Drosophila melanogaster: one gene and its partners. The protein of the gene in region 1 purifies or fractionates together with the protein of each later gene. This does not show direct contact. Each region holds a gene or a part of one and is shown in the gene's direction. Other genes may lie near its edges. The genes, in order: ck, Sans and Mlc-c.

The links.
Region 2: the proteins of ck (region 1) and Sans purify together in Drosophila melanogaster (affinity purification with western blotting, with the first as the bait; one study listed by BioGRID). This does not show direct contact.
Region 3: the proteins of ck (region 1) and Mlc-c purify together in Drosophila melanogaster (affinity purification with western blotting; one study listed by BioGRID). This does not show direct contact.

What each region holds. Positions count from the first base shown.
Region 1 is NT_033779.5:15,052,651-15,062,679, reverse strand, and holds the start of ck (crinkled), read left to right. Parts: upstream 1-4,817; 5' UTR 4,818-5,012; exon of another isoform or gene 5,013-5,175; intron 5,176-9,157; 5' UTR 9,158-9,248; coding exon 9,249-9,266; intron 9,267-9,945; coding exon 9,946-10,029. Other genes in the region: TfIIS (RNA polymerase II elongation factor), read left to right, coding at 2,182-2,247, 2,314-3,189; CG33679 (uncharacterized protein), read right to left, coding at 3,793-3,948, 4,012-4,377. UniProt on the Drosophila melanogaster protein: Myosins are actin-based motor molecules with ATPase activity. Unconventional myosins serve in intracellular movements: can function in cells as a single-molecule cargo transporter.
Region 2 is NT_033778.4:12,932,287-12,943,320, forward strand, and holds Sans (scaffold protein containing ankyrin repeats and SAM domain), read left to right. Parts: upstream 1-4,604; 5' UTR 4,605-4,803; exon of another isoform or gene 4,804-4,810; intron 4,811-5,329; exon of another isoform or gene 5,330-5,387; coding exon of another isoform or gene 5,388-5,984; exon of another isoform or gene 5,985-6,057; intron 6,058-6,113; 5' UTR 6,114-6,166; coding exon 6,167-6,189; intron 6,190-6,281; coding exon 6,282-6,425; intron 6,426-6,488; coding exon 6,489-6,710; intron 6,711-6,800; coding exon 6,801-7,796; intron 7,797-7,865; coding exon 7,866-8,031; 3' UTR 8,032-8,126; downstream 8,127-11,034. Other genes in the region: CG17019 (uncharacterized protein), read right to left, coding at 1-1,076, 1,155-1,312, 1,385-1,452; SCCRO3 (squamous cell carcinoma-related oncogene 3), read right to left, coding at 2,466-2,823, 2,880-3,213, 3,277-3,414, 3,493-3,667; CG30487 (uncharacterized protein), read right to left, coding at 5,388-5,984; Mdr49 (multi drug resistance 49), read right to left, coding at 8,138-8,887, 8,958-9,566, 9,670-10,115, 10,291-11,034.
Region 3 is NC_004354.4:5,616,090-5,625,446, reverse strand, and holds Mlc-c (myosin light chain cytoplasmic), read left to right. Parts: upstream 1-4,871; 5' UTR 4,872-4,919; coding exon 4,920-4,968; intron 4,969-5,160; coding exon 5,161-5,573; 3' UTR 5,574-6,311; downstream 6,312-9,357. Other genes in the region: POP1 ribonuclease P/MRP subunit, read right to left, coding at 83-972, 1,040-2,723; RhoGAP5A (Rho GTPase activating protein at 5A), read left to right, coding at 6,770-6,881, 6,967-7,589, 7,661-8,138, 8,221-8,326, 8,391-8,556; CG34434 (uncharacterized protein), read left to right, coding at 9,281-9,357.

The sequences.
Region 1 (10,029 bases):
ATGGAATGCAAGTGTTACAAATTGGCAAACACATAAAACAAAGTTGCACACAAACACAAGGCGAAAGATAGAATAGACAGAACAGAAAAGCCAACAAATATGCGGAAAAGCAAAAAAAAAAAAATTGGACATAACCCAGAATGAGAAAGCCGAATAGGACAACATTTCAAAGCGTAAATCAAGAAACGCACACGAAAGAAAGATACGATGCCAATAACCAGAAAATGGGACAATTTTTACTTTCAACTTATTTTCTTTTTAAAAAAATGAATCAACTTTACACGCAAAATCTTTTTTTTATATTAGACCTTTCAAGATCCTGTTAGAATAGAACGCAAAGAGGAAACCAAATTAGGAATTCATGTTCTAGGGTTGCCAAGCTCTCTAATTGCTACAGTCAAATAAGGAGAAAAATCCGTAATAAGTACAAAAAGGTGCTTCGACAACTCTGAAACATAACCGAAAATGAACGAATGAAGTCAAAAGGAGCTTAATAAAAGTAAGTATTCGAAAATTGTAAAACGAAAATGGGTGTAACAATATGAGAAAAATCCGTTAGAAGTACAAAAAGGGGCTTCGACAACGCTGAAACATAACCGAAAATGGAAGAATGAAGTCAAAATGAGCTTAAGTATTCGAAAATTGTAAAACGAAAATGGGTGTAACATTAATATTTAAATGGGATAGTTTTTACAATAGAAGAATTAAAAATGATAAGGGGAATAATATATGTAATACGTTTTCAAATGGTTTTAATTTTGCGGATTTAAAAATTGGAAAATGAAAAACTTGTCGAGTCAATTTAGACAAGTTTTAATGAGCTTATTTTTAATGTTGCAAAATTAAATCCGATTCAAAACTAATTGCATATCACTAAGATAGTCTCTTGCTACTTACCCTGCCTTTCAAGAGCAAATTAATTCTTTTTCACTTTATGTATTACCTTACAAACTTTGATAAGTTCAGATCACTTCGCGCAACGCAAAACCGAAAAGGATCTGTTAAAAGTACCAAAAATCTAGTGGTGGAATTTCCCATTGTGCTATCGCAATTCGATATTCACAATTTCGATAATTTATATATATAGCCGTTTTCCACTAACACATCAAATGTGATTTAGCTATTAATGAAATTGTAATATTCAAGCAACCTAAGTGATTCATTCATATGTACATACTTATATGTAAAGATGGTGGTGGCATTTTTAACATGGGGAAGTTCTTATTTATTTACTTTTTCGTTTGTTATAGGTGAATTCCTCTTTATTTTTATACAATATAATTTTATTTTACGTTAAGCAACCAATTTAAGGGCTATGAAACGTAGTAACTAACAGGAGCAACGAAGATAACATGGAAACATACAAAATTTGTATAAAAATATTGATTAGATAATAGTTTGGCTTGTTTATGCCACGTGTCCAAAGATATCTTTGATGACGCCTCCTCAGTGTTCTCCTGGTTGTCTGGTATGTGCCTGATTTAATTTGTTCTCAAACTGAAGGTGGATGCTGAGGTCATGTGCGATATCAACATTTCTCGCGTACCAGGGCGCGTTGGTGATTGTTCGCAACGCTTGGTTTTGGAGCCGTTGCCCTCTCACTATGTCCCACCGCCGATTTGACCCGCAGACGTATCCCGCTTGTCCCCAACAACCGCACTTCATCATAATACATCATCTCTAGACCACACTCAAACGATTTATTTATTAAAACTAAGTGATATATAGGGAATTGTTATTGAAGGTAATTAGTATAATTCAAAAACGCCCAACACGCTGTTCTTTCATTGAAATACAGTGGAGCCCTGCTTGCAAGCAGTGCAAGTTTAAAAAACATCGCAATGCTATGTGTGTGTACTCGCTTAAAAGCCAGATGTACATTAAAATACGGTAACACTGTTGACTTCTGAAACCCAAACTACTTCCAGTTGGGAATTGTATTAGCCATGGGAAGGCATTTCTTGACAAGCCACCGCCCGGTAACACTAAAACGCGTTAGGGTGTTCTGTCAACTCGTTCTGCGAATACAGAAACGAAAAAAATAGTAAACAACATTTATTGGAGGGAAAAAAAGAAATAGCCCGGCTTCCGCATAAACAACTGTCGCAGACCCGCAGCACCGATTAAAGCCGACAGCCGACGCCAGTTAACCTAACCTCTGATCAAATTAAGTGGGCCAAAATGAGCGTGGAGGAGGAAGTGTTTCGAATCCAAAAGAAGATGAGCAAGATGGCCAGCGACGGCACAGTAAGTATCGGGATTAGCTAACGTGCCGCGCATCATGTCACAAATATACATATATCCACCGTACAGGGACAGGATCAGGCTCTGGACCTGCTGAAGGCCCTGCAAACGCTTAACATCAATCTCGACATTCTGACCAAAACGCGCATCGGCATGACCGTAAACGAGCTGCGCAAGAGTAGCAAGGACGACGAGGTGATCGCTCTGGCCAAGACGCTGATCAAGAACTGGAAACGATTCCTCGCCAGCCCGGCGCCAACCACACCGAACAACAGCTCCGCTAAGGAGGGCTCCTCCAACAACAGCAGTGCCTCGAAGTCCACCAGTGCCGCCAAGTCGTCGTCGTCAATCTCCGGCAAGGATAAGTCCAGTTCATCCAGCTCATCCAAGGATAAAGAGAAGAAAGGCTCGACATCCTCGTCACAGACCTCGTTTCCCTCCGGCGGCATGACAGATGCGGTCCGCATCAAATGCCGCGAAATGCTGGCCACCGCACTGAAGATTGGTGAAGTGCCCGAAGGATGCGGTGAGCCGGAGGAAATGGCCGCCGAACTGGAGGATGCCATTTACTCCGAGTTCAATAACACGGATATGAAGTACAAGAATCGCATTAGGTCACGCGTGGCCAATCTGAAGGACCCCAAAAATCCTGGATTGCGAGGCAACTTTATGTGCGGCGCCGTCACTGCCAAGCAGCTGGCCAAAATGACGCCGGAGGAGATGGCCAGCGATGAGATGAAGAAGCTGCGCGAGAAGTTCGTCAAGGAGGCCATCAACGATGCCCAGCTGGCCACCGTGCAGGGCACCAAGACCGATCTCCTCAAGTGCGCCAAGTGCAAGAAGCGCAACTGCACCTACAACCAGCTGCAGACTCGTTCCGCCGATGAACCTATGACCACCTTCGTCATGTGCAACGAGTGCGGCAACCGATGGAAGTTCTGCTAACTCCCAAAATTGTTCCAAAATATAAATCAATCCCAAATGAGCACACACCACACATCCTTCATATTCTTAAATGAAACATTGTAAAGACACGACACGCGAGAAAACATTTTGTATCTGCTGCCCAACTGCGGAGGCGTTTACTCTGACCACCTAAACCTTAAACGAGAGAAAAGAAATTTCAATAAACATTAACTATTGATAAAACGGAGACGTCTTGTTGCCGCAATCAGTTTTTTAAAAACGCCGGTGATAACGACCACGCTGCTGATAACTCGCCGATAACACAGCGGGGCGATAAATTGAGCATTGAGCAAAGTAAATATGAATACATTATAAATATAACTCAGAATGATCTAGCAGAGAAGTAAATAAGACGCCATATTGTGTATGTATTCTCGAAGAGTATTAACAACCGATGTAATTAGTCAGTTTTAAAGCAATTTGCATTAACGAACTTTGTATTGCATTAAGTATAGAAGTCGGAACGGGCCAGATCGGACAACTATATCATATAGCGGGCATAGGAATAATTAAAACATTAACGCAAAATAAATATGTGTTCGTTGTGTTAGATCCATTAGGTGTTCTAATGTTTTGTTCATCTTAGTCAACGTCAATTTCAAAGTGGATGTTTATGATGGAAATCCAGTTCACGACACCATCATCCATTTCGAGGGTTAACTTATAGCTACCCTTTGGTAATGGGACCTTGGCAAACATACGATCATCCAAGGTGCAGTTCCTTATGTAAATATCATCCTTAAAATATATATTTTAATATGATTTAATATGATTGTCATATTGGCGAAACTAAATACTTACATTATAGGGACATGTATGATTAATATTGGAAAAGGGCATAAAGGCGGTGTAGAAATAGTAGAAGACTCTGAGACGATTTGGATACCTTAGGACGCGACAGTGTTCCTCGGAAACATTAAATAGAAACGGATGGTATCCGTTTAGCTTCCGGTAAGTGATGAATCTCACGACCATCCTATTTATTGGCAGTTTCAGAAGCTTAACGTGTATGTTGGCTCCGATAATTCCCCTGCCAAGCACTTTTAGTCGGCATTCGGGAAAGACGACGAATGATTTGTCATAGCTTTCGCACTTGAGGTTCGTGAGGCGCACGTATCCATGGGATTCTCCAATGAAAAGTAAGCTGATCCACAAGAGGTACTTCATCAGGGCAAATAGTCTGGATGTAATGACCACTCTACGCGATGGTGGAGTACTGGTTTCCAAAAATATAATTACTGATGGGGCATAATTAGATTTTAATTACTACTTATCGCAGTTCGTATAAATAATTAGGTAATCAACAAACCGCTTCAATGAGCTAATATGACGACATGTTTAATATATTGACATAGAAAAAAGATATTTCTTGAAAAATGCAATAGCTTATGACAGATATTTTGAAATGCGCGCCGAAATTAGGCAGGTCGATAAATTTGGGTAAGTAATGCTTATTTTTATCGATGCTATCGGAAGTCTATCGATCGGACTGCTTACGCGGCAATGTGACCATATAAGCGGTTTTCAAATGAACTGTAATGTTAACTCGTTAGCATACCACGATTAGTAATCCGCGCATTTTTTAGGCCATTCGCAACTGGCCCCACCACCTGGTCACTCTTATTGATCAGTTTATCGGTTGTTATTTTTCGCTTCAAGTCTTGTCTTCTCGGCGAAAAGAAAAACAATAAACAAATCGCACAGCCCCAAAATGATCAGTGGTCTGTAATCCACCTGTTGCTCGGCTTAACTGTGCTGGAAAAGCGGACTTTCGGCGCGCTGCTCTATTCCTGCGACTGCTGGTGCGTGACCTATTTATGTAACCTGTTTTTGAAAAAGAACATCCCGCTTTCGACGGGTCTGGAAAAGTGTTAATTAAACGGTCGTGGCGAGAGCGATTCCAATTAGAATTCGAATTCGGTGACCGAAAAGCGGAGAGTGCAAAATTCTGAGGCGGCAATTAAGGTAGAGAGTGATTGGAAAAAAGAAAAGAAATGAAACGAAACTAAAAGAAAAGAGTGCATTAACCCTGCCAAGCGGTCTGTGTAAATGTGTGTCTGTTTGTGGCTAGAAAAGCCAGTGGGGAAAATGACAAGGGTCACAGCATCGGTTCAGTGTAACATCATCGATTTTATTGCATTTCCAGACGGAGACGTGGCTGCATTGCATTTTTATTGCTTTAGGCGAGTGACCAAATTAAATAGCTACGCTTCAGGTTTCGTTGGCTAGAACGGTACTAACATGCACACTACAAGCGCAGCCCCGCTCTCTCGCACGCACACACGGACAGGTACACCTGCCGAGGAGCTGCAGAGCGAGCGAGAGGGAGAGATGCGTAAAGAGCGGCTCACAGTGCAACACATTCAAGGGTGCTGCTACCGTCTCCCCCTCTGCCACGTACCTTTCCCACCCGCTCTCGACAGTGCGCTCTCTCCCTCTCATTCTCCTTGAGCTTGAACCAGGCTTCCACACTGAGAAATAAACGATGTCAATTTAAAATGATTTGAATAGTCTTTTATGGAATTACGTGCGTAAACCTTAAAACAGTGACTAAGTGTGTTTTATTAATCAGTTGAAAACGTTTTTTTTTATAATCTATCATTATGATTATGAAAAATATACATATATGAAATACTTTTACTGTGTAAATCTAATCTAATCAGAGTGTACTATCATTAATTGTTTATAAATTTCAAACATTCAAGTTAAATATTTGTATATCCCATTTACATAAATTTGCATAAATACAAATCGATCATGAAGCGTCTGCTTTTTCTTGCAGTTCAGCGGTCAAGAGTTCTGAAATTGACAATAACAACAAAAACGCAGGCACACTTGTTTGTCCGGTTTGTTGTTTTTGCTGTTGCACAACGGGACATTTCGTGTGTGGACAATTGGAAAACCCTTTTTCAAATAAACGCTTTTCATTAGCCGGTTTTTGTTTCTTCTCTCCCATCTCAACCTTTTTTTTGCGTTTCCATTTGGGTTGTTGGGCTGTTTTTGTTTTTGTTGTTGCTGGGGGCTTTCGCGCACGCAGCGACTTTCTGTTTGTTTGGTGAAACTTTTTTAAGGTCTTCTCTAAATACATAATAAAAAAAAAATGAACATAATACTTTGCCCATTTTTTATTTTTGTTGTTGTCGCTGGTGAGTCGTTAAATTTTGTAGAAGATTTCAGTTGTTAAACCAGAAGCAAATTGTGTGAACAACAAACGAAGTTTTGCGAAAAAGAATTTTGTTAGCAATGCTAGTAATTATGGAAAAAGTTAAAAAAAAATTCTACAACTAACGGTGTTTTTTAAATTTAAATCATTTACAAGTTCACATTAATAACAAACACTTTATAATTTAAATTTGAAAAGGTCTAAAGGCAACATATAATCAATATTTTTGTAAAATAAGTAATATTATAAATGTTCAAATGAATTGAAAAAGTGCATTTGCTCTTAAATTTAAGAATCGTTCGCATTCCATAGACTTTACTACGGATTTATTATTAGCCATATTATCTTGAGAGCTATAATTCAAGTGACCAATAAAACAATATGGGTTTAACTAAAGTGCTCCAATTAACGTATAAGTAAAGTGAAACCTTATAGGATTATTATTGCATTTTTTGTAAAATAAGACGAATATGAATTTTTCAGATAGGAAATGTTTTTATGCCACAAATTGCTCAAAGATGACAACAACATGATGTCAAGTGTCAAAGTCAAAGTGAACAAAAAGTGGTTGTATTAAACAATTGGTATGAACGCCATACATACTTTTATATGTACATATGTTTATAGATAATATATGGCCGAGTGTCTGTATGTAGTGTAGAGTAGATGGCATAAACCGTAATTGTACGTGGCTGCCACACACGAACTTTCACTAATGACTCTCGATGAACTTTTGGATCACTCACTAAAAACGCACTCTCTTACTTATAGACATATATACATGCAGTACATATACATACATATGGTTACCATATATATGCACTTAGATACGTGCCAATCGTTCGTCACTGAGTCCACTATCACTACCATTCGATGCTAAATCTGCAGAGCCGGAAATTCTTAGACGCTCTTTGCTCGATTCTATAAGTTTTTTAATCGTTTTTGGTCATGCCCAGAGATACAAATGTCTGCCTCACACCTCGATTTACACCTTGTTTGATGTTTCGCTTCTTATCGCTACTTGCACTGCAGGGAAATTCTGATAACAGCAGGTACGGCAATTAGGCAATCGTTTTTAAATAATTCAGTCATGACTGTGCTTAGTCTAAGTGCTCTCTTCAATTTGAAAACAGTTGTGGATTGAGTACCAAAAAAAGATTAAAATACGAATATAGATACGTTTACCTAAAAAGCAATCCTTAAGATACAAATAGAGTTCCCAATAAATGAAACCTTTTCCGCGTTCTACAGTTAAGTACTTGCGGAAAGAGGGGATTTAGATGACAATGAGGGCATTAAACTATTAAATTGGGTGCTGATAACAGGACAACGAGTATTGAGCAATATTACTTAATACATGTATGTATGTCTTAGTTAAATGTTTGAACTCCAGCCGACAATTGAGGTCGCTATATGGTTGTGGTTCGAGTGTGGATCGCGGATAGATGGGTTCCCTATGTGCACTAGACTCGTATTTTGACCGGCAGAGCGTAACCAGACTGGTATGTGTACGAGTATACGTGCCGCCGTGTGCCACTAAATTTGGTTGCTCCGTAGCTGTTGCTGCTTTATTTTTTTTTTTGTCTGGCATGTTGCAATTACCGTGGAGAGGAGAGACGCCTCCCAATGAGTAACTACACTACGGCTGATACCATGCCACACTATACTATACCTGTGCGGAGGCAGCCGTTAGTCCATGTGCTAAATGATGGATGGGGTGTCCAATTGAAAGGCGGCTTCGATGGCAACCGACTGGGAAATGACGCCAGCTTGAAACTCTGATTCATGACTGGTTTCGGAAATTAAGTAGTTCGCTTAAAAAAGCCGATCTACATGTTGATTAGATGAGTTTTTCCGGAATTCTCTAGATTAAATGATTAAACTAAAGAATTATGGTTGTAATCGGACTCTGTAATCAGCGCTCATTTGCTCACTTGTAATCCGGTGCTAAAACTGGTTACTATAATTGCAATGTTTATTTTCTTTAGTTCTAAAGATCATATTTAAAGGTGGAATTTTCACCAACGATAACCTGTCAGTGGCGCAACACATTTCTAATTTCTTTTCGTAAATATCTAATTGAAGATGGTTTAGTTTTCTATCGCCTTAAATCGAAAACATTGTTTAGCTACTGCCAGGCCGTACAAAGTAATGAAAGTAAATTTTTTCAATGAAAACCAAGCAATTTGCATAACAAACGCAGCTCATTGAGACCTTCGATTTCGGTTAGACCCTCTTTTTCGGTTGGTTCTTGTGGCCAAAACTGATTGTTTGAAGCGACCGAAGCTCAAAAAGTGAAAATAGTTGGATGGCCTTTTTTGCATGTCTAAAGGTGTAAAGGTTTATTTACTTTTTTTATAGGATTTTCGGTCACGTATCAATTCGTTTGGATCGGGCTGTTTTCCCTTAGTTTAAGAAGAAAAGAAGTATCGAAAGTATGAGTTTTATGAATGCATTTAAGCCTGATGACTAATTCGCTGTTGATTTTGTGTTGTTAATGAGTTGCCACTTTTGCTGGCTGTTGGCTGGAGTGTGTTGGCCAAATCGAGGAAAGAAAGACGTTTACCTCGAGCTAGGAAAGCGATTTGATAGCAAGAACAACAAAAAGAAGACGACGGACCACAAACGAAGACAGCGACAAGTTGTGAATTCTTTCAATTTACCGTAAACTTCACCTTAATTTTTTCTACTATTCGAAGCCGGTTTTTGTTGCCGCAGGCGCTAACTCGTATTTTGTTATTGTTGCTCATGGCCAACTCTTCCACTTGTTCTCTCTTTCGGCAGAGAAGAATATAACCCAAGCGGCAGCAGCGAAAAGGAACGGGCCATTGTCCCTGGATGCCAACACAGGATCAGTAAATGAAGGACGACGAACATGGTGATCGTAACACGTGTAAGTATTTCACTCACCATTAGCCCCCGCAGTGGAGGTATCACTCCTCTTATCGAGCCACTCCATCTATCTCACCTTTCCCCGCCCCATGAGCACCAGCTAACAGAAGCAAAAAAGCGGAAGTTCCACGCCATGGCTCACTTCAACTACCATTGCTCTACGAACAGTGGTGGCTGGGAATATTTGAATGGGGCAAAGCAACAGGTTGATGGTATTTTTCAAATATATATATATTTTCATTGCAGTCTTATCAAAGTACTTTATTTTTGCATAGTTTAGTTTTTTAACTAATCTAACTAATCTTATACGCATTCAGATCTACAATCTTATTTCATTAAATAACATTCTAACTGACTTAAATTGTTCTATGATAATTGGCTAGCTATTAGTGTTATAATAACTTCCTTGTTCTAGACCTTCTCTATAAGGTTTTTACGTAAAACCTTTGCATATTCATCCAATTCCGCCCATCACTGTGCACTGCCCATTTCTGTCCCTGGTATTACTATATTTGTTGCGTTCCGCTCAAGTGACTCTTACAACAAACAGCCCATAGTCTTTATGGCACCCATGTCCATGGCAACCGAATGCGGCTGCCTCGTAAAGAACTGAATGTCAAATTGTAAAATCGTAAAATGGTTAAAAATCGGAAATTTGTAATTGCGCCTCTAATCGACAGGGTGACTACATCTGGATAGAGCCCGCATCTGGGCGAGAATTCGATGTGGCCATTGGAGCACGTGTCGTCTCCGCCGAGGGTCGT
Region 2 (11,034 bases), on another chromosome or scaffold:
AGGCGACTCGTCATCGCTGGAATGGTAGCGGCGATTCAAGTAACCATCGGATCGTCTTCGAGTCACTTTCTTTGTGCGCTGCGGTACGGCGGGATAGAACGCCGGACTTGGGTTGGCCGGGCGCTGATTTACGTTAAGTGCCTGAGTACTTTCGCCCATCTCACTATCATCACCCTCGACCGCCGGCCTGCTGCGCAATGTCACCTCTAATATCTCATCGGCGGCACTCGTGGTCGGCGTCTCTTCTACAGCTTCGATCCGGTTTACCTCCAGCACCTGCCACTGATCCAGGTGACTGCTGTTGGTGTCCGTGTTGGCCTTGCTCTCGTCTGAGATGCCACCAATGGCGCCCAGCTCCTCAAAACTTGACTGCGAGGAGGCATCTGCCTTGGAGCTGCTTGACCCCGGCTTGGAGCAGCCTGGACTAGGTGCTGTGTTCCCTGCAGGTCCATTATCTACGTTCGCCAGATCAACAGGACTGGGCTCTGCCGCAGCATTGACCCTCCGGCCACTGGTATCGGTTTTGAGTGAAATCGAAACACGCTCACTGAACGTGGCCATAATCTCTTCGTCTGAGCACTCGCAGTCGGACTTGCTTTGCGCGTCTTCCTGCTCTTCATTTCTCGCTTCCTGATGAGCCACATGGGCCTGGCTGCTGCTACTGGCATCGCGATTATTCGATGACTGCGTGGAAGTCGAGGGACTGCTGCTGCTTTGACTGCCACCATTGGTGGTTGTGGCTTGCTGTTGGACATGCACGTGTTGCGGTCCGCCGTTTACGGCACTGGCATAAGTGGGTATCTCACGCGTAGATACTCGCGGCTGCTCGAAGATGTGGGTGGGCACCTCGGGCTGCCTGCTCTCCGGCGGCTTTGTGGTAACTTTGGAATCGAACGAGGCTAGCGAATCACTTATGTTATCGCTTAGGTTGGAGAAGAAGTTTTGGCACGACTGTTTAAGGCTGTCGATGGGATTGGCCTGGCCCCGACCCGGACTATTGGAGGAGGCGTTTGAGCCTCGGCTCCTGTCAACCTGGGCCACATGGGTGAGAACCAGTCCTACAAGCTCCTCTTTCTCTGTGGGAAAAGTTGTATTAAGTTGTGTTTTTGCCAGAGGTTTCCCCATCCAGGGGACTTCCCGGATGAGTAACTCACCTAGACAGCCTTCAGTGGAGATGTGTTTGGACTGCAGATAGAAAATCAGGTCCTTGGGCTTGAGCTTTAATAGATCTGTCCTTGACAGTGGTCGCTGAGCGAATACAGAGCATCGTTTGCACCGCCTGGATGCAATGCAGTTGGCACAGTAGTAGCGTCTAATGGAGGTTTACAAAATATCGATGAATCCCCGAAATCCGTGAAAACCAAATGAACAGGCCATTACTCACTTGCAGTCGAAGCAAGCACGCTTGCGACGGAACACCGTGAATTCCACACCGCAACTTTCGCAGGGCATCGTGGTCGTTGGACACTGGCCAGCTGCTCCTATCGACCGTGTCCTTGCACTGAATCCTTGCCCTTCCTGGCGATTACACCCCTTCCGCCTGCTCACGCCCACTGTGCTGGCATTGCGTTTGTTTTTCAATGTCAACGCCGTGAATCACTGGATAAAGAATGCCCTGCACACGGCTATCATTTCCACCTGGTGGGGATTTGTTCAAGAGCGCGGAGGTGCACTCAACACTTAATCATACCCAGCTGACTGCGTTTGCGATGATTTTTATAATTTTATCAGGCCAACCAAAATAGCAATTTAATGTACTAGTCTCACGGTTGCATGGAGGCATTCCTATCGGTCCAATCTGCAGATATGAATATCGATAGGCCATGCAATTGGCGGTTGATTTGAATACATCCCCCCATTTTAAAGCAACTATTATGTTAAGTTAATTTACTGGTATATCAAACTAAATACGCCATGCCATAATTAACAAATCCAATTAAGCAGTTTAATCTTTTAGTTGGTTTTATTTAATTCACATCCACTACTTACAGTTAAGTATGTAATTGTATGCATTTAAATAGTTAAGTGCCATAAAATGTTGCAATTTTGTTTAAAATAATACATCAATTAATTGCTAAATATTATACGGTCTACCTTCTGCTCCGCCTTCAAGTCAATTAGTTATATACACATGTGGTTTCCGATGATTGAGCTTTTCCAAAATTCTTGTCGATAAGTCTTTAATTACATAAACAAATGCGTCCGTTGTTGCTCCGGCCAGAATGTTGGCCAGCCATAATAAGAGCTGGCTAATGATGGCAGTTGGAGAGTCCGTCCTCAAGCAGCGCCAGCACCGCATCGTTCGTTTTCAGTGGCCACGGGTGTTTAAAGTTTTCTACTTTCACAGGGGATCTTAAGCAGCAGCTAGAGAGAGCGAGTGGTCAGTATAGATGAAAATGTACATTCTTTAATTTCTATTGGCGAGTTGAATGTTGCTTGGCCCTGAAGAGACTGGAGACTGGCTACTATGACACAAGACCCGGATCCTCGGCCTTCACGTGGCTCTGTAGGGGATCGTCGTTGTTGTTGTCATCGTCGTGGATGCCCGAGGAAACCAGCGCCCGGCTTTTCTCGTAGTCGACAAAGTCGTCGAAGAGGCTGGGCCACGCTTCGGTATCATCGTAATTTTGTATATCACATTGTTCCGTAAAATTGAGGTACATGTTCCATGTATCCTTCGGTATGCGGCGAATATTCGGGTGCTTTTCGAGGAAGTGTATCCAGTTGGAGAAGAGATCAGGTGTTTGTACAGTGAACACAAGTTTCCACAGGTCAATAGCCATCTCCAGAGAGAGGACGCGCTGATCGGGCTCCAGACCAAATCTGAAATTTGAGACGCTAATTAGGTACTGATCTTCCAAGCAGTAAGAACGGCATACCGGAATGTAAAGCGGTATAACTGCTTGAACATCTCGGCGTCCGCCTTGAGCATCTCGATTGTCTGCTCCAGCCGCACCCGGATACTGTCTATTGTGTCCGCCCTCATCTTATGCAGACCCTCAATGAACTCCACCTTGGTGAAGCGGCACATCTGCGAGGCATCCAGGCACCAGGCCAAGACGAGAATTGCGAACTCATCGGGCTGATAGTTGAGGTCATTGCATAGTCGCTCGATGCCGTCCGTGAGTATCATCTCCTCGTCGTCGGGATCTTTGTACACATCGAATAGTTTGCTCAGCGTTTGGTGCGATACCTCCATCGATTCCTGGACAGCTATTAGAATATAGAAAATCGAATGAGTATGCCGCCAAGGCAGTCGAATGAACGCTGACTCACCAGTTGTTATGATATCGCTCATGGTGGGCGCACTGCCATTAAGCAAACCTAAAGACTTAAAACTATTACGCTTAGTATCACAATTGTTTGCTTTTGCTGGCTTGAGTGGAGTTCGGCTAGAGAGCAGTTCATCGGTTTCTAGAGTGCATAAGCCGGAATAAGAGAGGTTTCTTAGACTTTGGATCACAATGCGGTTATTAACTATAGAATACCCACCTAAGGCGCAGCGCTCGTTGGCATTGGGATTAATGCCCACCGATTCGTAGCAATTTGCAAGGCTGGTGGCCGTCTGGCAGGCGTTGGAATTGGAATTGTGTGAATTGGGGGACGAGGCGTTCGTTGGCATCGATTGTTCGGCGGCAGACTGGAAGCATTTCAGGCAATTGCCCATAGTGCGGGCGTGCTTGGTGCACCACCAGGTCCTACTCCTCCCCCGTGCTCCGCCTGCAGTTGCTTGCTTAACGGGAGCACTCGATGGCTTCCAGTTTCGTTTTGGCTGAGACACTGTGATTTGTCAAGGGGCGTGCAATTGCAATTGAGGTCTGCTGGTCGTATAGCTTCTGGGAAATTTATTAACTATGCATTGGCACTGCGATTCCCTCCTCTGGCATATGGTAGTGGCTATTCCGATTCCGATTCCAAGTACGTCCTGTGCGAGTACAAACAAGTACGATTCCGATTCCGATTCTTTGTTGTCACTGCGATTGCTGTTGTTATTTTGGTGCCTCCTACGCAAACGCACACTCACGCGTATACACATACATGTGCAGGTTGCAACTGCAGCATTTGGTGCCACCAAATCGCGCTCGTCTCTCTCTATTGATGGTTTTCATTCACATTTTCAGTTCACCGTGCTCCAGCGCGTGTTTAACTACAATTTTTTACAATATTTTTAATTTGATTTATCTCGCTTTTTCACTTGTCTTGTTTTTTTCTGGCAATCGGACCAGGGCGGCACTAGTCAACCAGGGCTGCAGTGCTCTACGTTAGTTGATGCGATAGTCGTAGCAACTTCAGTCTGGCAACACCCTATCGTCGAAGAGAGTCACAGTAGGACATACAAGTTGATTCCGCACAGTAGTTCACACCTTAAATATTTTCGTACAAATTATTCTATATTCAAATACGATTATTGAACCAATACGTTCAATACAATGTTTTTATTAATTTATATTCTTTATATTACTTTATTGGTTAAGAAATTTAAAACAAAACATTAGCATACATAATTTTTCCCATTAAAATATTTAGTTGCCGTCTAAGCAGCATCTATCATTTTCTCGACCACTGTGCGTAATGTGAGCGCCGAGTTTGAGCAAAGCTAACAATTTCATTCAACAACATGCAGTCGGAGCGGTAGAAAGTGCTTCCGGGTAACGGCTTTCGGAACGTGCATATTCTACCGATCGCAGATGAAAACTTTCGGTTCGTTTGGCTAAAAAGAAAAGTGTCAAGCTGCCCGGAGTGGGAAAATCCAATTTGAAATCCTGCATTTGAAAAGTCGTCTTGAACCGGGACAACTAACTGGTAATAAGTGAGTGTGTGTACCCGTGGTAAATAAGTAAATGGTTGACTGTCTCGATTTTCGGTTGTTTTGGGCAATTCGAAAACCAGCCAACAAGGTTGAGTGAACTTGGTAGTTGGTCGTTGGTATGTAAGCCAAACTCCGTCGTGCGCAGTAAATGGGTAATGTTTTCTTGTGTGCGTGTGTCGTGGGCCTGTGATTCTTCGCGGCGGCTACACTTTTCTTTTTCTTTTTTGGATTATTAATTCGAAACGTGTGAACGTTAGTACAAGTGCTGGGAAAAAGGGCAATATGCTTAGGCTTAGGAATTTGGCTCATCTTCGGGCTTATTTTAATTGGCCAGCCCCACACAATAAGCACATTAAAAAGTGGAGTAAGACAAGAAGTACGAAAACCCCGTCTACATTTGGTACCAGTAACACCAAAACGGAAATCAGTCGATCTGATACATACATTGTACATATGTATATGCATATATAGGGATCCAAACCTAACATCACCACATCTAAAATGAGAAAACCGTAAACTAAAATGATTTATATCTTTTTTTACTCTAAATATAACAATACACACACCGTTCCAATCATTAAGTATACATTATTTCAGCGCTGAGCGGAAGATTCTTGGGTATGTTGAGCATATTTTCGAAGTAGCTGGACAGCTCTTCGAAATTAACTTCGTCGGGGCTTTGAGTCGGAGCTTCTGTGCCTCCATTAGAGAAAATATCATCACATTGACAGGTCAGGTAGACTGTATCGGGATCCGTTGGGATCGATTTAGCCAGATCCTGTAGTTTGTCCACCCTTGGGACCGTCAAGTTTATGGCGTTTCCGTAACCACAAATATTTTCACACTCGCTCATCATGGTTTTAAGATCGTAGGCATTGCCAGAAACCTTTCCAGTCGCAATCTTTGCCCAATTAGATTCCTTCTCTTCGTCGGTGTCTCGAATTTTGTGAGCCCAATCCACTCCTTCGGCACGAATTCTTTTAAAGGGATGTTCAATTATTGACTTTCGAAGAAGAAACTTTTGCTTCAGTGTATGCTTCGGAATTCGTAGATCTTCGAATTTGTTGGAATCCAAAGTTGCCTCTATTGCAGATTTATCGAAAGTTGTTGCTTCGATTGGATTGTCAGATATTATCATCTTACGCAGCTCGGAGGAGATTTTTTCTATAGACATGCTTTTTAATTGTAAAGAATTGTTGGCGCTTATGTGTGTGACCTAATTTTGAGAATCTTGAGATGTGTGATGGAAAGGAATGGCAAGTATAATGAACAGCCTACTCATCTCGCCTTGGATTCCTTTCAGATCGATTCAAGAATTTCCATCGCCAACCTGATTGAAAGATAACACAGACGAATATGTCATCGGATCGGTTTCACAAGTGGGTACATGCAATTAATTTGACTCTATCTTATCACCAATGGTGATGCACAAGAGACTCATTAACTTTCTGGTACAATCGTTTCCGTTTAGAGCCGCCAAAGATGGGCTGTTGGATGTGTTGGCAGCAGCCACACGGAAGGATACGAATGCCAAGGACAGTGATTCCATGACGCCGGTCATGTGGGCTGCCTTCGAGGGGCGTCTGGATGCACTGCGTCTGCTGTGCGGAAGGGGGTACGCATTCGTTTAAATGATAATTCTATATCCACTGAAGATAATCCTTTCCTCTCCCTTCAGTGGTGACCCTGACAAATGCGATCAGTTCGGAAACACAGCCTTGCACTTGGCCTCCGCCAAGGGTCATTTGCATTGCGTCGACTTCTTGGTGAAATTCGGAGTAAACATCTATGCCTTGGATATCGATAAGCACAGCGCCAAGGATCTGGCGGCTATTAATGGCAGGGACGAGATCCTGCGCTACTTGGATGTTGCCTTCACAAACTTTGAGGCCACTGAAAAGTAAGTTTATGAAATATCTGCCACTTGCTTGCATTTTTGTTTGCATAATTTATTTTTTGTATATATTAAAACTAATACTTCAACTAACAGAAAAAAAAGCAAGGCCCTGAAAGAATTGGCCGAGAAAAACTGCGAGAAACGTGTTAGGGAGTACATGAAGCGCCAGAATCAGCAGCAACAGCGCCAGGATCCGGAGTATTCGGATCTAAGCGCACCCAGTGGCTCCAGCAAGACCGGCAACATGCTGTCCACTCTGAAGCAGAAGATCTGGTCCAGCCAGGGCAATCTAAATAAGACACCAAGGGATACACCGCCTCCCACAAAGTTCAGCGATCTGGTTGGGAACGGTAGCAGCAGCAGCGGTGGCTCCACAATAGCCAGTCGAGCGGGAACGGTGCAAAAGAGACCGTCGCAGCTCCAAAAGCAGCACAGCAGCACATGTCCACACTCGAAGATATCCAGCGACACAGACGGTGGCTTCAAGGTGCGCGAGGTGGAGCCAGATGGAAAGCGAACCATTACATCGCTTACGGGTCTGCAGAGAGACTCCGAGGTGCTGTATGTGGGCACCTTTAGTTCCAACGAGGACAGTGTCGGCAAGCGCGGCAAGATCAGCGATGTTTTTGAGTGCATGGAGGCCGATGAGTTGGACCACAGCGATAACCGCAGTGGCTATAGCTCTACTTTAGCGCGTTCCTTCTCCCAACCGGATATTCTGGGGGATGGTCAGTTGACCCAGGAACTAAGCGAGGAAGTGACCCTCCAGAGACCCGTTGGACTCTTCGATAGACCCACCATGCTGGGCAGCATTGCCTTTCGTCGATCCGTAACTGCTGCTTTAAGTCAGCTTCAACTGCACACGGACACCAGTTCCACTTCCACGATGCGGAATGCGGGCAGCAATCCTCCAAAGACACGAAATGGCGGAGGAAAGGGTCGTTTATATTTGAACCTTTCGGATGATACGGACTCGGAGGGCGGCGGTCATGACATCTATAGCGATGATGACGACGACGACCGAGATGCCGGAGGAAGTGCCTTGCAGCGATTCCTGGCCGTTTGGGCCCTGGAAGAATACCTGCCAGTGTGAGTAACAAAACCAAATTTGTCTGGAATGTATGTGTATTCAACTCGTATCCTCCTTTACCATTTCAGATTTCAGAAGCAAGAGATCGACTTGGAGACTCTGATGCTGCTCACAGAATCGGACCTTAAGTCACTTGGCTTGCCACTGGGGCCATTCCGTAAACTCACCTTCGCCATTCAGGAGAGACGTAACGCCCTGGCCAATCCCGGACCCCTGGTAGACAGTCGACTGTAGTAGTTGGCCTAATCATTCTATTTTTTTTGTAATACTTCAACATGTTCAATTAGCCTAGTGTACATACTAAATTAAAGCCTAACAATTATCACTCCAGTTCGCTGTGTTAGCCCGACACCTGTTGCATCAGATAGAGATTGGCGTAGATTTTGTTCAGTGCCATCAACTCATCGTGGGTGCCGTGCTCCACTACCACGCCGCGTTTTAGCACACAGATGAGATCCGCATTCCGCACGGTGGTCAGACGATGCGCAATCGTCAGGCATGTGCGGCCTGATCTCGCCTCATCCAGCGCCTGTTGCACCACCTTCTCGCTCTCCAAGTCCAGCGCAGAGGTGGCCTCGTCCAGGATGAGTATCTTCGGGTTTCTAACCAGGGCTCGAGCGATGGCGATGCGCTGCTTCTGACCTCCAGAGAGCTGCGATGTCTTGCCCAGTCGGGTGTCGTAGCCTTGGGGCAAAGCACTTATAAAGTTGTGGATATTCGACTTCTTGGCCGCCTCAATAATCTCCTGCATGGACACATCGTCACGGAAATTGTTGCCATAAGCTATGTTCTCGGCAATGGTGCGATCGAAGAGCACGGGTTCCTGCGAGACCAGGCCCAGCTTGGAGCGCAGTGTGTCCAACGGGAATTCCGTGCTCGGCACTCCGCTCAGATTCACGGATCCCGATACGGGATCGTAGTAGCGAAGCAGCAGTTGCACGCAGGTGGACTTGCCGGAACCAGATGGACCCACCAGAGCAACCGTCGTCGATTTCTTGATGGTGAGATTTAGGCCCTGCAGAATGGGAGTGCCCTTCCTGGTGGGATATTCGAAGCCCACGTTTTCATAGACAATGTCTCCCTCGGATTTCTAAAAAAAAACAATCAAATTTGAGTTTCCAACATAATGTACGGTTTCGATTGGCGAAATGTTGACTTACCTCAACTGTATTGTAGGGACTCTGTGGCGGATTGGGCTGCGTTGAGGTGCGCTTGAAGAGATCCATTAGGCGTCCGGCGGACAGAATAGCATCGTTTACATTTGGCGCGTAGGCCAGGGCCTGTCCCAACATCCAGGAGCCAAAGATCAGAGCCTCGGCCACCTTGATGATGTCCTCATAGTTCATTCGCTCCTCTGCCACCAGAATACCACCATAGTACATGGAGATGCCGTAAGCCAGGAAAGGAGCCGCCTGTCCCAAAGCGAAAACCAGACCACGGAAGCGAACCTTACGCCTGCAGGCGATATCCACGCGATCGATCTGCTGAACGTATTGATCCAAGACCTGGCGCTCTAGGCAAAGACCATTGACCGTTCGGATATTGGTAATAGCTTCGACTGCCACTTGAGAAGCCTCCTCGATCGACGCCTTAGCCTTCTGGGCGCTCTTCATGATAAAACGGCCCTCCAAGTAGACGGACAAACAGACCAGGGGCAGGGTGACCAGTGTGAGGAGCGTCTGTTGCCAGGAGAAAACGAAACCGACGACCATTCCAACCACAAGAGTGGCCACGGCCTGGAGCATTGTGCCCACACGAGCTCCGGTTGCCTGGAATAAGGAAAAAGCGTTAGATATTTAAACATATATAGTAAAAAGCAGTAGCTTGGAATAGCAGTGCTTCTGCATGGTTACCCTCAATCTTGAAACTTACACCCTGAACGTTGGAACAATCGCTGGCCAGCCGGGAGCACAGTGCTCCCACTGAATTTCGCTCGTCATCGAAGTAGGCAATATCCTGACCAATAATCGTTCCAAAAGCCCTTTTACGCAATCGCGTTGTCATCTTCACGCCGGCCGTTGTGAACATGTAGGTCTGGAGCATGTTGCCCAATCCGGCCATCAAGCCAATGCCCACAAAGATCATGGAGATTTTCAGGACCTCGGCTCGCACAACGTCATCGTCACCGTCCGAGAGGATTCCAAAGAAGTCGCCAAAGAAGAGACCCCAAAGCGGGAATGTGGCGCCATGCATTACGGATGCAATGCCTCCGACGACAATGAAACGCCACTCCGGAGAATTAAGCTTCATTAGTTGAGTGAAGGACACCTTGGATACCACTTCCTTGTCCTTCTTCTTCTTGCGACGCTGCGAGCGACCTGTTAATTATTTGAATTGGATTTTAAAGTTAATATATATAATATAGTGCACGATTTTATAGAACTTTTAATTTTGCATTTGTTTTTATTACTTATTTTCTTTACTTAATATCGAATTTAAGTCTTGGTACTTGGGTTAGTAAAAGCATTAAATATTCCAACTTCTGGTACTTACGCTTGCGTCGCGTGCTGGCTCTGAATCCGCTGTCCCTGGAGCTGCCCGAAGTCTGCAGCTCCGGCTCTTCGTCCTCCTCTTCATCTTCCTCGTCATCATCGGTTTCCTCGTCAGACAGGTTCTGCGACTTCTGCAGAGGTCGCCCGGCAACCGCTCCCTCGTCCGCCTCCGTGGCCTCCTTCCGCTGGGTGATGCTCACCAGTTCGCAGTAGAGACCACGTCGCTCCATGAGCTCCTCGTGCGTACCCTGCTCCGCCACTACACCGTCCTTGAGGAAGACAATCTTGTCGGCATTGGTGATGGTGGACAGTCGGTGGGCCACAACTAGAGTGGTTGGTCCCTGGCTGGCCAGTTCTAGGGCACTTTGCACCCGCTTCTCAGAGGTGGGATCCAGGGCAGAGGTGGCCTCGTCGAGAAGAAGCACTTGGGGCTGTCGAACCAAAGCCCGGGCAATGGCAATCCGCTGCTTCTGGCCACCAGAAATCTGAGCGCCCTTCTCGCCCACCTGGGTGTCGTAGCCCTTGGGTAGGCGAGTGATGAAATCATGACAGTTGGCCGCTCGCGCCGCCTTCTCTATATCCGCCTGAGTGGCCGATGGTCTTCCGTATCGGATATTCTCGCCAATGGTGGTGGCGAAGAGAACCGGTTCCTGGCCCACCACTCCGATCTGCGAACGCAACCAGCCCACATTCAGTGTTCGAAGATCCCGTCCATCCAGTTTGACACTGCCCGCTTCGGGGTCGT
Region 3 (9,357 bases), on another chromosome or scaffold:
GCAGATTAAATCGAACTTTTTTCAAAGACACGATTGGATTTAACTTACAACTAAGTAACTACTGACTACTAACTAAAGTCGATCAAAAGGTTGGACTAGCCACATTCAGGTTGACCTGAAAGCTGGCCCAGCGATAGTCGCGGCTATCCGCATCGCGCACCAGGCACATTAGCGGCGGCTGTTTGCGGTTGCCCTTAGATGCTGGGAGCTCCTCGATGAGCTGCTGCAGGCCGGCGGGTGTCACATAGCCCACTGCACAGACGAGTGCCTCCGTGAAGCTGAAGCCGGCCGTGCTCACGTAGCCAAACACTTGGCGACTACACTGGCGACGCACACTGTCCCGCAGCTCCGCCGGATCGGTGGGCAGCCACAGGCGGCACATCTCCTGTAGTTGGCCACGTACGAGATGAGCCGTATTCGCTGGCCGTATGTGGACACGTTTGGTGGCAGTCTCCTGAAGGCGCCGCTTCTCACGCACCCTTCTCGATCGCAATCGCTTCAGCTTTAGCTTGTGACTCTGGCGTAGCTCCTTGCGCAACTGTTCATTCAGGTCCGGTTGCGTTGGCTCCACGTGAACGGGGGCCTGGTCGTTGTGCTTTAGCTGTCGCCAGCGCTTCTTGTGATCCGCCGCCGTGGGCAAGCAAATCAGGGCGTTGTCCTTCACATGGCCACGGGATAGCAATTGAAGTTGAATCTGTATGATGGCGTCGTCGGGCAGAGTCTGTGGCAGTGGGCTACGATGTCGAATACTCTCGACAATCTCCTCCAGCTGCTGGCGATGCCGCAGCACATAGAACGATGATCCCTCGCTCGCAGAACTGAATGATGCACGCCAGTCGCGCACTAGATGCCTCCAGGGTGCAGTAAACGGACTGACCACGGCCAACTTTCGGTAATTGGTACGCTTATTGGGCGGCATACGGAAATACCGGGCACGGAGCTCATCCGCCGAAGCAGCAGCTCTTTGAACTCCTAAACAGATGCAAAGTGAGATGATTAAGGGAATATAGAATACGCCAGAGTATAAAACACTTTTTACCCGCTAATGTATCTGGCAGATGTATTTCGGCACCTGCCTCCCTAGCCACCGAATCCAGTTCCCTCAATCCGCCGGGTCTGGCGCCCCACATGGTGAGTGTTAGCCAGAGGGTCATGCCGTATCCTGCCGGTGCAATCACATCCCAGCCGCAGCCGTAGCCCAATCTCTTGTATCTGGGGTCCTGAGATCCTGGTCTTTGAATAAGTATCACGGGAAGCGCCTGCATTTGCTGTTCGAAGGCACATGGAGCTCCTGGCACAACGGCATGTTGTTCTCGCAGCTGGTCGTACTTGTGCGCGGACATAATGCCTTTGGCCAGCCGCTCTCTCGCCTTCTTGCTCCACAGAGGACTCTCCGGCAGACTCTTTGGCTGATTCATGAGAAGATCGCCGGCGGATAATGGTGGCTGTTCCATTTTGCCGACTGCTTTCGTACGCTTCTTGGGCCGCTGCAGGCGCGGATCCACTACAAGGTGGGCCATCACCAGATTGGACAGCAGTTCGGCGGGCGAGCTCAGCTGCAAGGCTGCCTGACAGTAGTTGGCTTTATCCTGGAGCTCCTCTTCTCGATGCGGACGTAAGCTGGCAAAAAGAACTTTTTGGGCTCTAGGCCCTGTCAAACGGAAACGATTAAACTCCCGCTGCAGCAGTACCAAGTGGAGAGTGCCGTCGGAATTGAAGTAGCTAGGCTGTGGATCGAATGCTTTCGTTTTTGTCCAGAAGCGCAGGGGCCTCTGTTCAGGCTTCTTCTTCGAGTTTTTCTTGCCAGGCGATGTTTCCTTGGACAACTCGACTGGCTCAATCTTATCCACATCCATCTTTTCCTCAGTCACAGCCTCGTTTAAAGGCAGCTTTTGTTGCCTTGTGGATTTCAGCTGGAACACGCTTATAAGCTGATTTAGAACAGCTTGAGCGCCACTGGGATGTAGCCACAGCCAGAGCGTGTGATTCGTCTGTTTCTCATCCTCCTCCTCCCGCCGTGGCCGCCACATAAAACTGGCCCGCTGCAGGGCTCCATACGGATAGCGGCCATCCTCAAATAACTCCACGCTGCCCTCACGTCGTCCGCTCAGAAAAGTCCGGGCCGTGATCCCAAGGCCACACTGCGGACTTGTTAGCCGGGCGAATCCCTCGCGTAGCATGTCCAAGGGTCCCCGCAACTCCACGCAACCATAGAACGAGATGTCCTGCAGCAGGCAGTGCTCGGCGCTGGCGCGATAGCAAGCGCGGTAGGTCTTGTCGCAGCTGGCGTAGGGCAACCGGTGGCCCCAGCGGTCAACCATGTGGAATCGCTTCGCGTGCCAGATGTGCGTCTCCAGCCAGACGTGCCGCCTCTGCCGGCGCACGTACTCACGCATCAGATTCTTGGGTCTCCGGCGGTACTTCCTCGATGGTCGTTTCCCATTCACCGGCTGGTTGCCGCTTTTGCCCATTTGGGACTTGTGCGCCTGTCGGTACTTGCGCGGCAGTCGCTTGGGATGGTGCGACATGGCGCGGCGGCGCATGTGCTTGGGCAGCGTCTGGAAGATTAGCTTGCTGCTCCGCTGCGTCGTCTCCTGGCAGTCGGCCACCAAATTGCGAATCTCCTGCAGCGCCTCGGCCGCATAATGGTACGTGGTCACGTGCGACGGCAGTGTGACCCGGCCGCCCAACGCAGCGTCGTACTCCACCTTCTGTGTGCTCATCGGGGACTAACTAATTTGGCCAGGATCCAATGCATCCAAAATCAAAACAAATCGGCGGCACGTGTGGCGGTTTCTTGTGAAACGATCTGGCAGCACTGCTCGATTTCACTAAACTCCCTGCACTCATCGATGTTGTCGCACCTATCGAATTTCGAGTGGCCTATCGATTGCGCCCACTATCGGCGACCACTAACACCAACAACGTTTCAGAATTTGCTTGCGTTTTGTTTCGACGTCGAATTCAATATTCAATATTTCGTGTATTTTGTGTTGTTTTCCCTCAGATAGCTAAAAACAAATCGATATGGTGAGTGCAGGCTGTTTATTGCGGCGCTGTTTACTGTTTACGATCGCACTGGAAGTGCGCTTTCCGGCGCCTTTGGAAGCCAGCACTCAAGTTTCCTTCATTGTTTTCCTTTCTTTCCCCTCTCTCTCTCCCCGCAGGCAGCTTATACCGAGGATCAGTTGGCTGGTGAGTTGAATCGCACGAGGACCAGACGGGGTCAAGTACCAGGAGTCAAAAGTCGGGCAAATCGCATATATATATATATACAGATATATATATGTGTATAGTATTGATATGTGCGCTGGCACCTAGCGCCCTCTCCCTCCCACTCCCACACAGCATTGGAATGCGGGAAAGCGATGGCACGTACATTTGTGTGGTGTGCATGAATCATTGATAAAGCAAATACGCTGGAAGGCAGACGGCAGCCATACGAATACGATCGTGACTCACCTAAAAAGCGGCGAGAAAGTCCCAAAACCGAAACACTGCAATACCCTGTCCAAAATGCTTTAATTAAGAGCAGCTGTAGGCAAAGTTTGACGTGATGACTTCGAAAGACATCCGAGATCAAGCTGACAACACATATCGAAACTGTGCTACTTTTGGGCTTTGATCAGCAGATTATGTTCGTCCAAGGAATAGCTTCATAGAATAGCGACACACGGCTGTGTACCAAGTTTCGCATTAATATCTCTTGATAAATCCGAGTTCTTTCGGTTATCCGAAACCCACACCAAGTTAATTGATAATATGCATAGCAGGCAACAAACTTATTCGACCATCAGCTAGTTAGTTTCTGCCAACAAGCTAGTGCTAGTCTTAAGCTAGTGTAAACCAAGTTTGTAGGTCATCATAAGAGCAGTTATTGTAAGACAGAAACTGGTCGCTTATAATCATAACCAACACCTCGGTATGAGTACAAAAAAAAAAAAAAAACACTGTTTAAGCGAAAGGAAGTGAGCGATAAAATATAGATAACAGAGCGGTCTAATGGGATAATCACCCGGTTTTCTGACTCGCCGGCTGCTCGTTTCAAATAAAACTGCAATTGCAGTTGCAAAAACCGAATAGCCATGCGATAAGAAGCCAGTCAGTTGACAAAAAAAAAAAAAACCAGCTTCCATTTACGGAACATCACCTTCTCTCTAAGTAAAAATGCAACACGATTTCGATTCCATGGCGAATCAAATCGAATCGAATCTTTACGCAATCCCCTCGTTTAACCTAATCAAAGTCAATGGTCTCTGATAATTCCGTCATGCTGGATTCGTGACACTCTGACGTCAGCGTTCAACCGCATATGCCTATGTACGAGCCATATACCATATATTTATTTTCCAATTCCAACTTACCTTGTTGCAATCTTTAGCCAGCCGTCGACGTTTTGTCATTGCCTAAAATGGACAAAAATGTGCTGGATTCGTTTGTTTTTATTGCCATTTTTGGATCTCGTATTCGCATGATAACCGAACACATCCCAGCAATTCATCGAATGGTGAACACTCTAGTGCTCAGATCTTTAGAGGATCTGAAAACAAAATATTGAGCCCAACCACAATGTTCTATTTACGCACGTAGATCGCAGAACTTTTGCAGCTTGGTTAACTTACACCATCACTTGCTTAAATCCAACTGCACGCGAAATGGACTTGCGATGTCACGCCTCGAAACGAAAAACTTTGAAACTTAGGATTTCTGGGTTGTTTATCTTACTTGCAAGCAGGCAGTTCCCGGTAGAGAAACGAAGTTTGCCAGCGACGTGAGGGTATACCATGGCCAAGGAAGGCGGAGTGGTGGCTTGCATCGGAGCCGATCCGATCCGCTTCGATCCGATGGCCAGCCAAATCCGGGCAGGCGGAGTTTCAGGCAGTCAGTAGCTGGCAAAACGGTCATCGGAGTGGTTCAATATGTATTACTATACGGCGCATGTGAAGCAAACCTTTACCACACTGGAAGGTGATCCATTTAGCCATTTAGTGGGTGGTAGAAAGCTATAGTTCCCCCTCACATTTCCATACGTTTATATGTAGTAGTTATGTAGGTATTATATATTATATCCCTTATCGAAGGGTTCTTGTAAGTTGTAACGATAATAATTAAGATTTGTAAAGCATCTGCCAACAATCAGCACGCACTTTCCATTCGCAGAATTCCAGGAGGCCTTCAACCTGTTCGACAACCGCGGAGATGGCAAAATTCAGCTGAGCCAGGTGGGCGAGTGTCTGAGGGCCCTGGGCCAGAACCCCACCGAGTCGGATGTCAAGAAGTGCACCCACCAGCTGAAGCCCGACGAGCGCATCTCGTTCGAGGTGTTCCTGCCCATCTATCAGGCGATCTCCAAGGCCCGCTCGGGCGATACGGCTGATGATTTCATCGAAGGACTGCGTCACTTCGACAAGGACGCCAGCGGTTATATCTCCTCCGCCGAGCTGCGCCACCTGCTGACCACGCTGGGCGAGAAGCTCACCGACGAGGAGGTCGAGCAGCTGCTGGCCAACATGGAGGACCAGCAGGGCAACATCAACTACGAGGAGTTCGTGCGCATGGTCATGAGCGGTTAGGATCAGACCGATTCTAGCTGTTCAACTGTCCAGCGACACGACAATAGAAGCAACGCTATATCCAACACAATACAACACACCAACACTAAACACACCTGCCAAGCTACACATAGATGAGCCGTTCATTCCGCCAGAAGTTCCAACTCCGTGATTCCAACTTAGCCATTCTTACCCCGGCATTAAAGCATTCAAAACCAAGGACAACGACCAAGGATATCGAGATATAACAAATACAGGGGAAAGTGCTTAACACAAGCAGCTAATAACTGAAAACTAAAAACTAAAACTACGAGATTGGAGCTATTCCCACTTCCAAAATTAACCAACGATGTAGACATAGATTCATGATTAACCATAACTAATTACCGCGTCTGTGAATGTGCGTATTATTCTAAAATTGACACTAGAAGGTTAATCAGTAATTATCAACTAGTGCAGTCGTTCTTTTGTACCAATCACACTCGATACATTTATATATATATATATATGAATTACCATAGTATACTTCAATGGAAGGAAGGAAAGCCAGAGTATCACGAAAAAGTATTTCTAAATTAAAGCTGATATGCGTCGGTGGCGTGTGTCCGTATTTAAATGCGCATTTTGAAGTTTTACATGTTTATTTTTTTTTAAATAATTTAATATTTGTATTTAATAAATAATGAAATGAGATCCAATGAATGTGTAGGTCTTTTTACAAAAGAAACGTACTTAAACTATTAAACCAATTGAAACCTTAGCTCTTGTTTTTATTTCTTGTTGAAAGCGGATGGCAATCAAATAAATGGCTGCTTAAAATTACGACTGATGCAAATTTTTGAAATATTTAGGAAACTTAACTGAAATTAAGCAAATTGTTTGTGGTATTTTTTGCGAGCTCTTGTGCTCTGAGCTTTCGGACATTTTTAAACTGATTATTAAGTGAGAACCACTGCATACTACAGTATTTACAAAACAATATAATGTAGTTTAGCTATCAATAAATTCAATAAGCTTACTATAAAGTTTATCTAAAGTTATAGTCATTTAAATTTAGTATTCTTCCGACTTTAATACCGCGCTAATTTTCGCCAGTCTGGCAGCTCTGCTCGCTCGGACAAAATTATTTGTATACTTTACTTAATTGGCTGCATTCCTTAATTATTCGCCGCCTACTTAGTGGCTTTTGACCAAGTGGCCTGCTAATCCGAGGGAGGATGCCCCGGAACACGGAGGCGGGCGCCGGAAATGCGAATACCGGTGGATCCGGCGGAGTAGGCGGTGCCCCCGAGCCCAGTTCTCCGGTTCAGAAGGTTTGGAAGCCGGAATGTGAGTGGAGAAGCACCTCGTATGCCACCCACAAGCTTATGATATGACTAACCATCCCCTTACCCATTTACCCGCCCACGCACAGTGTACAAACTGCAGCTGGAGGCACCGGCTCCATGTCCACTGCGCTGCCAGCGAACACTGCCCCTTCCGCCGGCGAAAAGCACGGCTGAGGCCGTGGAGGCCAATAACTTGGCGGGCAGGCTATACGGCTCCGAGTACCATGGCCTGATGGGCCACCTGGAGGCGGAGCAGCTGCTGGCCAATGCCCGCGACGGCAGCTACTTTGTACGCCGGAGCCCCCAATCCGATGGCTACTACACGCTTAGCCTGCGCTTCAACAAGCGACCCAAGCACTACAAGCTCCTCTATAAGCCCGGCGTGGGACACTATCTGCGCGGCCAGGACAAGCGCTTCGACACGGTGCACGACATGGTCGCCGACGGGCTGATCAACTTTCACATGCAGCTCCACGCCAGTCCCATCATCCAGCAGATTAACCAGCAGACCAAGAACTGCTACCAGCAAAGCCCATACATGACCTTAAATGGCCGGAAACTTAGGGCTCTGTCCAATGAGCTGGGCAAGGCCGCCGCCAAGGAATCGAAGGAATCGCCAGCCGAGGAGAAGGAGCAGAAGCAGGAGGAGCCACCGCCTCCAGCCGTGGATCCCATGCCGCTGGTCTACGAGAAGCCGCATCACTTCAAGGTGTGTGTTCAGACATAAGAAGCCAACTATAAAGGATCATAGCATCTAATGGAAGATTCTGATCCAAACAGGTGCACACGTTTAAGGGGCTCAATTGGTGCGAGTTCTGCGCCAACTTCTTGTGGGGATTCACCGCCCAGGGCGTCAAGTGTGAGGCGTGCGGCTTTGTGGCGCACAGCAAGTGCTCCGAACTGGTGCCGCCCAAGTGTGTGCCGGATCTGAAGCGCATACGCGGCGTATTTGGCACGGATCTGACCACGATGGTGCAGCTGGAGCCCCACCACCAGATACCCTTCGTGGTGCGCCGCTGCGTGGAGGAGGTGGAGGCCCGGGGCATGCTGCAGGAGGGTATCTATCGGGTCTCCGGCTTTGCCGATGAGATCGAGGCACTCAAACTCGCCCTGGATCGCGAGGGCGAGAAGACGGACATGTCGGAGACGGCGTATGGCAATGTGAATGTGATCGCCGGCACACTGAAGCTCTACCTGCGCCTACTGCCCGTGCCGCTCATCACATTCCAGGCGTATCCCAGCTTTATGGCAGCAGGACGTGAGTTTTATGGTGCTATGCTGCACCTCATCCCATGCCATTCACATCTATCTATCTCTCTATCTATTTTGATCTGTTGCAGGCACCGGCAAGCAGGCCGAGCAGCGCCAGCTCATGGCGGAGGCAGTGCGTCGCCTGCCGCCCGCCCACCACAGCTGTCTGCAGTACATGCTGGAGCACCTGAAGCGGTGAGTGTGACTGCCAGCATGGTCAATGCGATCTTAAGTAAAAAAAAAAACCTTCTGCCCGCAGGGTGGCCTCCCACTACGCCGTTAACAAGATGAACGAGCACAATCTGGCCACCGTATTTGCGCCGACCCTGATTGCCACGCCCCAGCACATGACCAACCTGACGGAGGAGATCTTTATGCTCTCCTCGCTCATCACCCACTGCAAGACTATATTCGCCACATCCTGAGGACGAGGTCATCATACCATGCTGCCCATACCAAGCCAATAACTAACTTTATCATCAATTAGAGGAGCACGGCCAAGCGAATCGCGTCTGTGCCCACCTGTCTCTTTCGAAGCGAATCCTTAACTTCCACCAAAAAAAAAAACTTTAGCCTAAGATCAAAATCGATGATTTTTATACAAACATTTATATGAAAAAAAAAACAAATCAACCAGTAGAAAAAAACGAATTTAGCGATTTTTCGAAATATTTTTGCGCTAATTAAATATGCGTCACAATAAAAAAAAGGATATTTATTATACATATATACAAATACAAATTCAAATACCTATGTGTATTAACTTGACAAACTTATTTGCTCGCTCGTTATTTTTTTTTTTTGCTCGTTTTTTTTTCGCTTTTTTTTTAACGGGGCAGGCGTGTAATTCGCTGTAGCACATTTTTCCTAACGATTAGCAAGCACCGAGTTTTCCTGTAAGCGCAAGGCACTAGCCAAAATCACTTTCGTTTCGAGTTCATAGAGGCTAGTCGAATTTACTGATTGTGCTCCTGAATATTTTTCGGAATATTTTTTCTGATTTTTGTGCGCGTTCTGTTTTTTTTTTTTGTTTTTTGCTTTTTGTGAAACAAAAAGTTACATTGTGCGCTGCCCCAAATTGTTTCGAACACAAAGTTGTTGTGAATTGAATTTGTTTTGCGGTTTTATTTCGATTTGATCAAAGCGAAAATGGCAAACGATTCGGATAGAAACGATGGCCGGGAGAATGGCAAGAAGAACAACAAGAACAATAAGAAGAACAACAA